Struthio camelus: one gene and its partners. The protein of the gene in region 1 binds, or shares a complex with, the protein of each later gene. Links are inferred from orthologs where the notes say so. Each region holds a gene or a part of one and is shown on either strand. Other genes may lie near its edges. The genes, in order: FBXL13, DRC3 and TCTE1.

What was found.
Region 2: FBXL13 (region 1) and DRC3 share a complex: the UniProt entries of both Homo sapiens proteins name them as parts of the nexin-dynein regulatory complex. The link is inferred for Struthio camelus from reciprocal best matches to the Homo sapiens genes FBXL13 and DRC3.
Region 3: FBXL13 (region 1) and TCTE1 share a complex: the UniProt entries of both Homo sapiens proteins name them as parts of the nexin-dynein regulatory complex. The link is inferred for Struthio camelus from reciprocal best matches to the Homo sapiens genes FBXL13 and DRC5.

The regions. Positions count from the first base shown.
Region 1 is NC_090942.1:14,258,531-14,262,743, forward strand, and holds the start of FBXL13 (F-box and leucine-rich repeat protein 13), read right to left. Parts: upstream 3,039-4,213; 5' UTR 2,765-3,038; coding exon 2,690-2,764; intron 1-2,689. Other genes in the region: ARMC10 (armadillo repeat-containing protein 10), read left to right, coding at 3,237-3,435, 4,030-4,175. UniProt on the Homo sapiens protein: Substrate-recognition component of the SCF (SKP1-CUL1-F-box protein)-type E3 ubiquitin ligase complex.
Region 2 is NC_090956.1:3,768,847-3,773,059, forward strand, and holds the start of DRC3 (dynein regulatory complex subunit 3), read right to left. Parts: upstream 2,664-4,213; 5' UTR 2,606-2,663; intron 1,935-2,605; 5' UTR 1,818-1,934; intron 1,068-1,817; 5' UTR 1,051-1,067; coding exon 894-1,050; intron 879-893; exon of another isoform or gene 514-878; coding exon of another isoform or gene 351-513; intron 1-350. Other genes in the region: TOM1L2 (TOM1-like protein 2), read left to right, coding at 3,112-3,163. UniProt on the Homo sapiens protein: Component of the nexin-dynein regulatory complex (N-DRC) a key regulator of ciliary/flagellar motility which maintains the alignment and integrity of the distal axoneme and regulates microtubule sliding in motile axonemes.
Region 3 is NC_090944.1:104,557,166-104,561,378, forward strand, and holds the start of TCTE1 (dynein regulatory complex subunit 5), read right to left. Parts: upstream 2,541-4,213; 5' UTR 2,277-2,540; coding exon 2,096-2,276; intron 54-2,095; coding exon 1-53. UniProt on the Homo sapiens protein: Component of the nexin-dynein regulatory complex (N-DRC) a key regulator of ciliary/flagellar motility which maintains the alignment and integrity of the distal axoneme and regulates microtubule sliding in motile axonemes.

The DNA of each region.
Region 1 (4,213 bases):
TCCTTATGCCCATTTGCTGACTTGTCTTATCATTAGATTATAAATCACTTTGGCATGGAACATCTTTTGATAAATGTGCAGCACCTAGCACAACATAGTACCCTGAATGACTACTTAGGTTTCTAACCATTATGATGAGGAGACTATTACAAAAAGTAGTATGTGAGATCAATATATTAAAAAATGTACAAAGATATGAATTTTGCTATTTTGACTTGTTGCTGAAAATATGTTTTTTCACAGCCTCATATTTGCAGTGTTGAAGATGTGTTATTATATATTCTGATTACACTATCGTTCACACGTTTTAAATAGTTCATAACACCTTGCTTAAACGTCAATGCAGTATTATAAATATTAAATATTATTATTTCATATTTACCTGCAATAAGGGACTACATTCTAAACCAGATGCAGTTTAGTAAACACAGTAAAAGTCTGCACGCCCAAGACGAGTTCTTGCAAAGTAGACAGCAGTCTAAAACAGCAGATCACCAACGGTAACAAAACTGATGCAAAAGTGTGACAAAATGGTTGTCAACTTTGTCTGTTCTGGACACCTAGAAAGTCTGGTCTACTGCTGCTCTTCCTGTGAGGGGAAGGGGGGAAAGAAGAGGCTATGCAAAAAGGCTAATGTGGCCAAGAGGGGCTGTCAGCTACTGCCTTCCACTAACATTAGAAAGAGCATAAAGCCAGAGATCTCTCAGAGGCGTCACTGTTCCAGCCATGCTCCTGGACCCTCCCATTCCTCTTCCCATCACCGTAGTCATTCATCCATCATGGCACAATTCAATTGGGCCATATGGCAGAAAAATTTTGAGCCAGCTCTGCGCCCGCATTTAATTTTAATATTGAATGGACAGGACATAACAGTGTCTTAACACTGAAAGGCATTATATCCAAAGTGTCTGCAGGATTACAGTTTACTTTTCCACGCATGACGTTCAAAAGTGAATCTGCATGAGACTCGAAAGAGAAAAATCAGATGGGAATGAAAGAAACAGATGCAGTAGGGAATCCCAAATTATCTGGACATGACTACTCCGTTTGGAGCACGTTCAAACCACAACCCAGTCATACAAAGCCCTCAGCAAGCAGCCATTTTAGAACTGCAACTATTCTTTCAACAGTATATACATAAATATCCATGGGTTTGGGCTTAGCTGTTATGTTCCTTCATATTGGGACCAGTATCATCTCATTTATTATCTCACAAGCATACTGTGACTTTATAAACCAATAAAAATATAATAAAGCAACAAATTAAAAATACAGATATTGGGAGGCATCAATCCTTAAATTAGAAAAAAAAAGTAAAAGACCTTTATAAATGGTCTTTTAAAACATCTTAAATAGGCTAATTTTGTAACTAGTTTCTTCCTTTAAGAAATTCCCTTTAATCTCAACTTCGATTCTTTCATTTTTAGTTATTAATTTAATGCCACTGTTACTCTAAAGGAATTTAAAGCTTTTGCTTGGAAATGTAAACATGAGCTATTTTTGAAGCGCTGAAATCAAGATATACCCCTTACGCAGTTACACCTTGTCTTTTGTTTTACTGTACTGAAAAAAACACAGATCAATCAAGAGAGGGATTCTCGTGAGAAGTATTCGCTCATAGTCTGCTTGGCGGTGCTGCTCTGTAATTATACTAATTGGTTCAAGATTTCTCTATTAATGTTTCCACGGAAATCCTGGCTGCGACAGCTGCTTGCAAGTTGGGTCTACTTTTGGTAGCTTAAAAATACCAGGATGTCTCTTAAAACTTTTCTTTAGGCATTGTCCATTGTGCTAATGAAACTGAAACACAGCCGATTTTTTTGAACCTGACAGAGGTAAATGTGACAGAAGTAAAAAAGGAGGAAATCACAGCAATGGAAGAGGGAATTGGATAATAAACCGAATGCCAAAACCAAACTTTGTTTGCCCCCCAGTCCTTCACAACGTCCCATAGTTTTACTCTCTCGCATTTCATGAAAGCATATTCACACCTGGTCCCATCGATACCCCACGCACCAAAGTCTGAAACGTGGTCCATGGCCATCTTCACCTTTGACAGGACTACAGGCCACAAAAAACTATAGATTGCATCTGCAATGCTCAAAACAGAGTATCTAGCTCCTGAACACACTCAGCTTTCCACCTGAAATCTAAAATTAAAAGTATTTCTACAATCAAAACTAAGGAACTTAGGCAAATATAGCGAAGGTGCCAAAGCAGTTCACTCTTTTGTCTTCATTCTGGTCATACTTTCAGTTTAAACACAGATCAGGATGTAGAATTGTCTTGTTCCACCTAACTTTCCCAGTTTAAAGTCTTCATAAATTGTTTGAAGAATGCTATTAACAGAAGGCCAAGAGCAAAAATCAGCCCGACACCCAGCAGCATTAGGGGTCGCGGGCTCCGCGGCCAGTACCGGGGCAGGGTGGCAGCGCCATTTCTGAGGGGGGCATTTCTGAGGGGACATCCCTGAGGGGGGACAGTTCTGAGGGGACATTCCTGAGGGGGACGTTCCTGAGGGAGGGCGTCGCCTGCCGCCCATGGATGCTAACGGGGAAGTCTGCGCTCCCGCCGACTTCAGCGGGCGGAAGGAAGGCCGTCGGCCAGCGAGGGCGGCGCGGGGTGCGCAGGGCGACGCGCTCCCCTCCGCGGCCACGGCGCGGCGGCGGCGGGCAGCGGCCGCCGTTACCTCGTAGACGCCGAGGAGGTTGTGGCGCCTGAAGTAGGCTCGGAGCTCGGGGTCCGCGTCCCTGAGCGACGACATGGCGGCGCCGGGACGGGCTGCGGTCGCCTAGCAACGCGCGGGCCTGCGGCCCGGCCCCGGCCCCGCTCTACCCCGCTCCAGGAGTCACAGCTGCACACGGCAAAGGGCTTTCTGCGTAGGCCGGCAGTTAGCCCGTGGGAGAAAGCCTTGCACGTTGTAAGCGGCTGGGAGAGGCGTGTCTGTAGCACTGAACCGACGCCGGGCCCAGGGAGCCCTCCCGGGCCCGCGCCGCCAGCGCTCGGGCTGCGGCGCGGGGCTCGGACCTCCGCCCGGCGGAGCGCGGCCGGCGGGAGGCGCAGCGCCCCTGCGAGCCGCCCGCAGGCAGGTATCCGAAAGGGCAGCGGAGCTAACACGGAAAGGCAGCAGGCATCGCTGCCACTGGCGGCGTAAGGAAGTGCTGCGCAGCTAGACGTTCCCGCCCCGGGCACCGAGAGGCGGTGATGAGGGCGTGAGGGGGCCGGAGGGGCCCGGCATGGGGGAGGCGCGGGGCGCCGCGCTGCGGGCGGCCGCGCTGGGGCTCCTGCTGCTGGCGGCGGCCGCTGCCTGCTACCGCCTGTCGCGGCGGGCGGCGAGCGGCGGGCGGCGGGGCCCGAGGCCGCGGCCGAGACCGGGCGCTTCGGCGGGGCCCGGGGCCGGGGCCGGGCGGCGGGCGCCCTGCGGCCCGCCCTCAGGTGAGGCGCCAGGCGCGGGCAGCCCACCGAGGGCGCAGCCGCGTTGTTCTTGGTCAGGAGACAGAGGAGGATGAAGAACAACTGTTGTTTGTTTTTCGAGCTAGCTCTTGCATTGTGGTAATTAACGCTGACTTTGCTTTCTGGTCTTCAGAGACCCTGAGTGTAGCCCCAGGTTCTGGAAGCAGCAGTCAGCAAGGGGAGACGTTTCAGTCTCTTTTCCTGCAGTGCCCAGGCAGATTTCCACGTTTCATTGCAGAGAACAGAGGGAAAATTTACATGCTTGGGGAATACTGCTAATAATTTTAAAAGAAAGGTTTGCTGTTGGTTAACCAAGGAATAACATATGCCGAGTGTTGCTTGTGTTTTCTGCTTTGAAAAGAAGTCGTAAGGCTCAGGAGAAGGGACTGAAATCCTGCTTCTGTTGTAAAACAATCTTCTTGCCATAACGTGGTGGTTGGGTACAGTAGATCTTGGATCACTGTGGCCTGCAACCGAGAGCTGAAAGTCACCTCTGTGAAAGACATTAAGTAGTAACTAAGGCAAATGTCTCAAACTTGATATCAGGTATTTCATTTAATTTTTTAACATTGACAGACACCAGTCCTACGGCATCACCCCATACCATGGATGCTGATGATCTGCAGAAACTTATCCACTTGCTCCAGTCCACAGATGATCCATTAATTCAAGAGCAAACTTTGATCACTCTCAGCAACAGCGCTGCCTTCTCCGTAAATCAAGTAAGTATTGTTTTATAGCAATCAATAGTATCTCAGGA
Region 2 (4,213 bases), on another chromosome or scaffold:
ATCACTGCATTTAGCTTTCTCCAGAAACTCCATCACAAGGGCAGGCTGTTAGGCATTACAGGAAAACACTAGAACCAAGGTGACAAAATATGAAACATTCTCACCCCAATTCTCTTTATGCCAATGAATTCCCTGAAGATTTTGTTAGGTGCTATTGTTTAGCGAGTGCAATGTAAAGCAAGGAACTGCATGCATTAAATACTCACGCAGTGCCATGTTCTGATTTGCACACAAATGTATGCAGAATCAAGTAACAGGAAGTGCGTGTATCCTCTGAGTTTCTTAGTACACATTTTACTGGAGCACACAATGAATAAGCAAAAGCAGATTTTGTCCATGAAATTACGTACCCCGAAAATACTCAAATAGTGAGCCAGATGTTCTTCTTTTTCTTTTTTCTTTTTTTTTTTGTTTTTTGAATGCAAGTTTATGTCTGGTTTGACAGTAAAAGGCAAGGTGGCCTAATGCTATGGGTGGCCAGGGGAGGCCACTGAATTGAACTGTCATCGCCATAAGCTACCAAATAGCCCTCACGTAATAGCCAGCGATGGTCACTAACAGCTTGGCCAGCATTTGATTTGTCCACATATAAAAGGGCCCAACAGGCCTATGGCCTGTAGGTGTCACCACAATATAAATGTTAAATAAGAACGGCAGTGACAATAATAGCACAAAGTTAAGCAGCTTTAAAGTTATCAATCAGCAAAGCCCCCCAGCTCTCTCTACTGAAACTACTTCATACAAGTATGACTAAAAATGTAAGTCCAGTCCCTTACTATTCATATACCAAATCCAAGCTAATCATGATTACATAATTGCCAGTTAGCCACTCAATGCTTAATTCTTCTACCCTCTAATAAATAAACATATAATATATATATTCTGATACTCACTTCTAAAACTGAACTGTAGCTCTGTGACGTCTTTAAAACTAATACCTTCCCTTTTGGCAAGCTGCCCTGCCTCATCTTGACTTTGCTCTTCCACAGCTTTCTGAACCATTTCTTCGCTGATCACATTTGGCTCAATGATATTGTATAATTGACTCATTTTTAGATGATAAGCGCCTTAAAAGAAAAAATAAATAAATAAAGCCACTGCCTGGCTACCATTTCCAAAATTTATTGAAATGGCATAACAGTTCCAAAGATAACAAAAACATAGCTGGGTATTGAGAGGATTTAATACCTCACGGATGATATCAAAGAGGTATTTTACTTTTACCACAAAGTCACTGATGCTACGCTGAGCACAACCGTACAGGCAGGCAACTTTAGCAGGTTACAACAGGCAAACTTCACACCATATTTGAGAGTTTTCCATAAAGAATGTAAATATTTGGCCAGATAAACAGAACAGCTAAAGGAGGCCCTGTGCCCTATAAACAACGAGTGTTTTGTACGGAAGGATCCTTCACATGGCAGTCACTTGTTGCTGAAATCCATCTTTATGGAAATGGCCTATTCAAGGCTCTGTATACCACATAAATCTAGTTTTGAAAGGCAAGTTTACCATTATAGGAAGGTTTGATTTATAGAGTAAGAGACCATATGTTAGTAACAGCAGTTTGCTAAATTTTAAACACTGATTTCATAATGAAAATAAAAACAAATTTGGGGAAGGAGGAAAACTTATAAACAATAGCAATGATTCGCTAAAGCAAACACTGAATAGAGATCCACAGTAAGGGTCATCTGACCGAGGCAGTGTATTTCAGTCAATATATAGCATTGAACACTTATACGTTCACTCTGACAACTGATTTAGGAAATCCACAATTCCTAACTCTCTGCCCTTGCTTTGTTATTTAAATATACCTAACGTTTCCCTGGAGGCAATGAGGCTGCTTGTCTTTCTGGAACTGCGCACAGACTCAGTATGAAGGACCTGAATCTTCAAACCTTCACTTCATGGAAAAAGTTTGGCTGATTTCTCTGCATAGGAGCACAGGAATGAGAAATGCTTGAATTTAGATAATTCCATCCTAACCATGCTTTTAAGTAACAAACCAACTCTCTATATGACCATGTTCAACACAGCCCAAGGAATAGCAGCACATCATGGATTCATTCATCTGTGACCTGCTGGACTTTCCACTGCCTTTTCCTTGCATTTGTCTGTCATCTCTTTAGCTAATGTTAGTGCCACAGATCTAACCAAACCGTCAAGGTCTGCAGCCTGCTGACACTCTGCAGGAGCAATCTGGGCACTGCGGAAATGAGAGCAGTGGATGCATCACCCAGACAAGGTGCTGCTGCTCACCATCGGCACAAGCCCAGGCCTGGGAAGCAACTCCGCATCCCCCAACACCCCCAGGCGCTGCAGGGCCCAGGACGGTGCCTCTCACCCTCCCTATCCAGGTGACACTAACCCAGGCGGGCTCCCCTCCTTCCCCCTGAGAAGGGGGCTGCTGGCCGCTGTGGCTGCCTGCAGGGACCAGAGACCCCAGGCCCCTTGGCCTCCCCAGGCCCCATCCCAAGCCGTCCTGGGGCCTCAGCCCCACGGCTGCCCGGCCTCCAGGCCCCGGTCCTCCAAGCCCCCGGCCCCCCGACCTCTGCGGCGCCCCAGGCCCCCGGCCTGGCCCCCTCCACCGCCCCGCTCCCACCTGCGCCTCAGCCCCAGGCCTCCAAGCCGACTGCTACGGAAGCCCAGGCCCGTTGCTAAGCAAGGCCACGTGACAAGCTGAGCCGCCAATGGTCAGGGAGTGGGTGGGAAGGCTGTCTAGCAATCAGAGCGCGAGAAAACGGTGTCAGCCAATCAGAGCGGGCACCGTGCCCTTGGGGCGGGAGGAAGCACTTGTGATTGACGTGGAACTTGCCCAATAGTCTTAGAGAACGGTTTGGCAGTTGCCCAATGGTGAATGCCTATAGCGATATCCCTGCTGTCGATCAACTGGAGGGCGTGGATTACCGACGGGGCGGGTCCTTCACTTGACAGTGATGGACACGCTCTTTAACCTGTGAGACCACGGGGAGTGCAGTCTCGGCCCAATCGGATGCAAGGAGGCGGGCCTCGCCTGGCAGGGTATGCTGCGGTTGGTGGGGGCGGGTGCCAGTCAGGGCGGGGTGGGGGAGGGGGGGCCGCCGGGCCGCTGTTTGTTGTCATCCCAAGATGGAGTTTCTGCTGGGGAACCCGTTCAGCACCCCGGTGGGGCAGAGCCTCGGTAAGGCCGGCTGGAGGCCGCTGGGAGCTCGGGGCGGGGGAAGTTGGAGGAGGCTCTGAGGGTTACTGGGGACACTGGGGGTGGTGAGGGCCTGTGGGGGTTTTGGGGGATTGCTGCAGGGAGGGGGGCTTGAGGTAATGGGGATCTCCGGGCGTTGATGGGGGTCTCTGGAGGCGATGGGGCCTTCTGTGGGGGTTAATGGGGGTCTCTGGAGGCAGTAGGGGAACTAAGGGGATTAATAGGGGGCTCTGAAGGCAGTGGAGGGCCTCTGGACATTAATCGGGGTCTCTGAGGGCAGTGGGAGGATCTGTGGGGGTTAATGGGAGACTCTGGAGGCAGAAGGACAACTGTGGCATCAACAGGGGACTCTGGAGCTAATGGGGGATCTGCAGGAGTTAATGGGGATCTCTGGAGGCAGTGAGAGGCCTGTGGGTGTTAATAGGGGGCTGTGGAGTAGTGGGAGGTTTCTGGAGGTAGGGCGGATCTCTGGGGATTGGTGAGGTCTGTGGAGGTAGTGCAGGGTTTCTGGAGGTAGGGCGGATCTCTGGGGATTGGTGGGGTCTGTGGAGGTAGTGCAGGGTTTCTGGAGGTAGGGTGGATCTCTGGGGATTGGTGGGGTCTGTGGAGGTAATGGGGAGCTATCAGGATGTGTGGGTGCTCTAGGGCTTCTTGAGGGGCTCTGAGGACTCAGTGTTTATCTCTGGGGGTTAGTGGAGGGCTCTGTGGGTGACAGAGGGTTCAGGGGTTAGCAGTTTTGGGGTTAGGCCAGGGTTCTGGGCTTCTGGTTGCTATGAGGAAGGAGCTACTCCACTTCAAGACAGTTGATGGATGAAGGAAAGTTGTGTGCTTCCTCCAGCTCCCTTCCCTGCATGTGAGCGCCTTGTTACAGAATTGTTATGTTCTTCAGCCTCAGCCGTCCTGTTCCCAAAGTGTTGAAACCTCTAAGGACCTGTGCATATGTAGGGAAGGTGACGAGGTTTAGAGGTATAAGCACCTGCTCAGTCTTCAGCCCAGAGCTTGAATTGTTGTTTTGCTAATGATCTGTTAACA
Region 3 (4,213 bases), on another chromosome or scaffold:
GTCCAGCACCTTCCTTTGGTGCTCAGGCAGAAGACAGTCCATAATAGGGTTATCTGGAGGGGATGGAGAGGAGGAGAGGTTGCTCTGGGCTGTAGGCCCATGGCACCTGTAGGCCAAGGTTCTGTCCAGACCCTCAGCTGTGTGTTCATGCCCTCCCCTCTACTGATACTGGCTCCCTTCTCAGTTACCTTTAGTCGGTGCAGGGAACTAAGCTGGCAGAAAATGACTCATTTTTGTGTAGGATTTCTATCTTTTACTGTAAAATATCACCGTAATTGAATTTACTCTCATAATATTTGGAGACCGCATCAGGAACTTAGCTCCTGTCTCTGCAACCACCAAAGTTGGGTACCACAAACAAGGTCCTGACTAAAGTTATTGACCTGTAGTTGGGAATTTGCATATAGTTTTGAATAGATCTTGAAAGGATCTGCTTTCCAGCACTCTAAATCCAGATCATCAGTTTAACTTTGGTTTTAATTCAGTTTATGTTCAGAGAAAGACTGCTGCCACTAACACAACTATTCTAGGCTTACAGTAATGGCAGAATTTGACTTGTCATTTGCTGAACTTTTCCCCTGTGGATTCTAACCGTATTAAAGGATGATATTTGAGAAGTGAACTGTCTGTTTGCTTTTCATACAAGTCCTCGTCTTTTCATCTTAACTCAGGTGTCTGTCTTACTCCAAACTGATTCCTGATTCCTTCCCACTAAGACGCACTTTATCTTAGCCTTCAGATCCACCCTATTTAAATAAGGGTTCTCCTTTCCCAGGAGCTTTCTCTCCTCAGTCCCTTGCTTTGAGTGTCAGCTGACTTTTCTCTGGTGGAAGTTCTTTGTGGTAAGAGATACCAGAGAAAAGCAATGTGTATATACACCATGAATACTTGGTGACAGGTACATGTATGTGTTGAATCACAGACCTTATCAGTGGAGAGGCCTGTCTGCACATGGGAAGTCAAATTCTTAGACACAAAGTGGGGTTAGTCTTATATTTTTTCTCTCTCTGGGGCATTTTCTTCCTAAGGACGTGCAGAGTTTTACCAGAGGCTCTTCCCGGAGTCTCTTCTCCAATAAGAGAGCTGGCACTGCAGTGACCTTCTCTGCAAAGGCTCACAATGCAAGCAGAGGTGAGACACATGTTGGCATAAGTAGACTAGCTTCAGTCTGGCTCACTCAGGCAACAGCAGTGGGCAAGATGCAGCTGCACAGGTCAGACGCTGGTATGAGGGACTCCAAGAGACTGAGCACACTTACATGCATGCACTGTCGGTCCAATCCGTTTGGCATCAGGCTGACTGATCAAACTGAAAGGACTTGGAAGGTCTCCCAGCTGGGACCTAAGGCAGCGCTGAGCTTCTCTATACTGTATTATAGTTCCAGTGTGAACATACCCTTATACCTATCTTTGGTTTTTGCTACAACTCCACTAAGTCAGCCAAAAACACAGGTAGGTCCTGTCTTTCCTCCTCCCACTCGCTTCCCAGATGAGACACCCTTTCTATGTTTTTCTATGTGTTTCATCAGTCCACCTGCCTCAAAAGCACTTTCCCTGCCTGGGGACATGACTTATCACATCACCACCAAAAGCTGTGGAGAAGGCCTGAAACTGTGAGTACAATATGAATTCTGAGATGAGGGTTCTTTGGAGCAGGGAGTATTTCTACATCTCTTTGTACAGCACTCAGCACAATGGGAGCTCTATCCTTGAGTACTACCATAATGTATGTATGAATCAAGAGAAGGAAATAGCAGCTTCACAGTCCTGGTCACAGTTGAGGTAGTGAGTCCAGCAGACCATGGAAGGAAGAAGAAATGATAGGACAAGGTTAGGGCAGAGTCACATCCTGGATAGCAGCCCAGAGGACTAATGTCCTCTGGAGTGTCCCTGGAGTGTGCAAGTACATGCTTAGCAACTAAATAGCTTGCTTAACTAGCTGCTTGAGGAGATGTTTTTCCCCATCTGTTTCTCTGGCAGGGCTGGGTACCACCCTCTGTGACTTTCAGATGCATCTGCCTGCTCTGTTGACCCCCTGCTTCCCAAAAGAGATGCTGTCTCTCTGTGTGTCCCAGGCGAGAGGCACTCCTGCTTACTTTCAAAATTTCGAATGATGTGCTGGAGGCAGAGCTCGGTGAGCTGTGGGACAATGACGAGGGACCACTCAGGATCCTCAGCAATGATGCGCTGTATACAGGATGAATCAGCAGCGAAGCTGGCCTGGGATGGGAATGTGGGAAGGGCTGTGCTCACATCACCAGCCACTGGCTCCTGCATCCTGCTCAGGTCCCACTTCTCCTTCAGGAGAAGCTGGAGAAAAATTGCTTGAGATCAGAAGTCACCACCACGTTTTCCAACTGGACTGCCTGGAACAGAAAAAGATAATTTTAGTAAAAGGCCAAGCAATAAGAATACTTTGCTCACATTACTCTTTTGTGATGCACTTTTCCCCTGCCCTTTGCCTGCTTTTGCCTTTTCTTGGACTGGGAGCACTGCAGCACAGCGACTATTATTTAGCCTTATCTTTGTATAGTGCCCAGCACAAAGACATCTCTAGGTGCTACATGTAATAAACAGATAATAATGTGGTGTTAATTCAAAGTGCTATTGAAGAGGGAGGACAGGAAAGGGTTGCTTACTGTCTTTTCCAATAAAAGAAATAAGGGCCTTAAGTGAAGGTGGCAGGAGCTGGGTTCAAAACACAGAAAAGAGATGGTTCTTCACACCATCTGTAGTTACGCTGGGGAGTTTCTTGCCACAGGATATTGTGGATGTTGAAAATCTGTGGCGGTTTCAGTAGAGACTGGACAAGTTCATGGAAGATAAACCCCTTTGAGAATGATTAAACACACAGAAACTACATCTGGCTCGGTATGAGTTGAAAATGGTCGGAGGTGGGGAGAATGCTGGAGGGAAGCAACATGTATACTTGCATCTGGTCACTGTGAGAAATGGGATACTGGGCCAGATAATCCACATTTGTTCCAATATGCCTGCTCTTATGACTCTGTAAAGATAGATGCTTACTATACATATATTCATTTTTTTCCGCCTTTCACAATTAATTACCAGCTGAACTCCTTCCAAACATCCATTAACTGATGAGGTGGGTCAGTTCTATTCAGACCCACATTGAAGATAAGCAGATATGAGCTAAAAGAACCAGGCTAGAGCAGAAGGCAGGATGCCCAAGTCCTGTTAGCTCTGCAAAGCTTTCCCAGACTAGATCTTCCCTTTTGCTATTTCCTACCCCTACCTCAGGACCAGCACTCTCAGCCTTCATTATCGGACATGTATGATTATTGTCTGGAAGTCCTAATGGTTCCCTCACCAACCCCACCAGTCTGAAAGAGTCAGAGGAGACACCAGGAAGCAGAAGGCTCTTCTTCTGCCTTCTGGGTCCTGGATTCGACAGCGTTGCCCAGGCTTGGCAAGCCTGTCGCAAGGTGCCCAGACCTATGCTAAATATGTATTGGGGGTAACTGGACATAACAGGGCTACAGTTTAGTGGGAGAGGAAAGAGGCTCATAAGAACAAGAGAGTCATTATGAGGAACTGAATTTCAAGGGAGCTGCTTGAAAGGGAGAAGGATAGTTAGAGATTCCAGGGCATGTGAAAACAGCACCAGGCTGTTGAAACTGAATGACTGTAAAGGCCCTGTTAACTGGAGAGTTTGCAAGCGTAGGGGAAATTCTTCTTGAGTCTAGTTATGCTCTAGCTGAGATTGCATTGCTGGCAGTGCCAGAGGCAAGGGCAGCTTCCTACAAGACCAAGGGGAAGCCTTGGGGCAGAGGGGGCCCTGCACCATGATAGAGTCGAAGGATCCTGTGACAACATCCTACACAGAGGCTGATAGCCATGTAGTGTGTTGTGCCACAATATCCCTCAGATGAACAGTGCTTTGATTGCAAACAGCTCCTCCTTTACGGAGGGCAAGAGCCAGATGGTGCTCCCCAGATCAAATGCCTCATTTTCTTCCCTTGCATGAGGCTGCTTCCTTTTCCCCTGAAGTCCCAGTTTGTGCTGCCTCAGTCGGCACAAGCCCCTCTTTTCCCGAAAGCTTTGTAGTAGGCTTTGCTAGCTTTCCTCCCTTTGCTCCTTCCCCCTCCAAAAGACATCCGATGAAAGGGCCTACAAAGGAATGTGCAAAAGATCTGTGACATGCCAGGAACTAGAAGAGCAAAGCAAAATGATTCATATCTACTGCAGCAAGT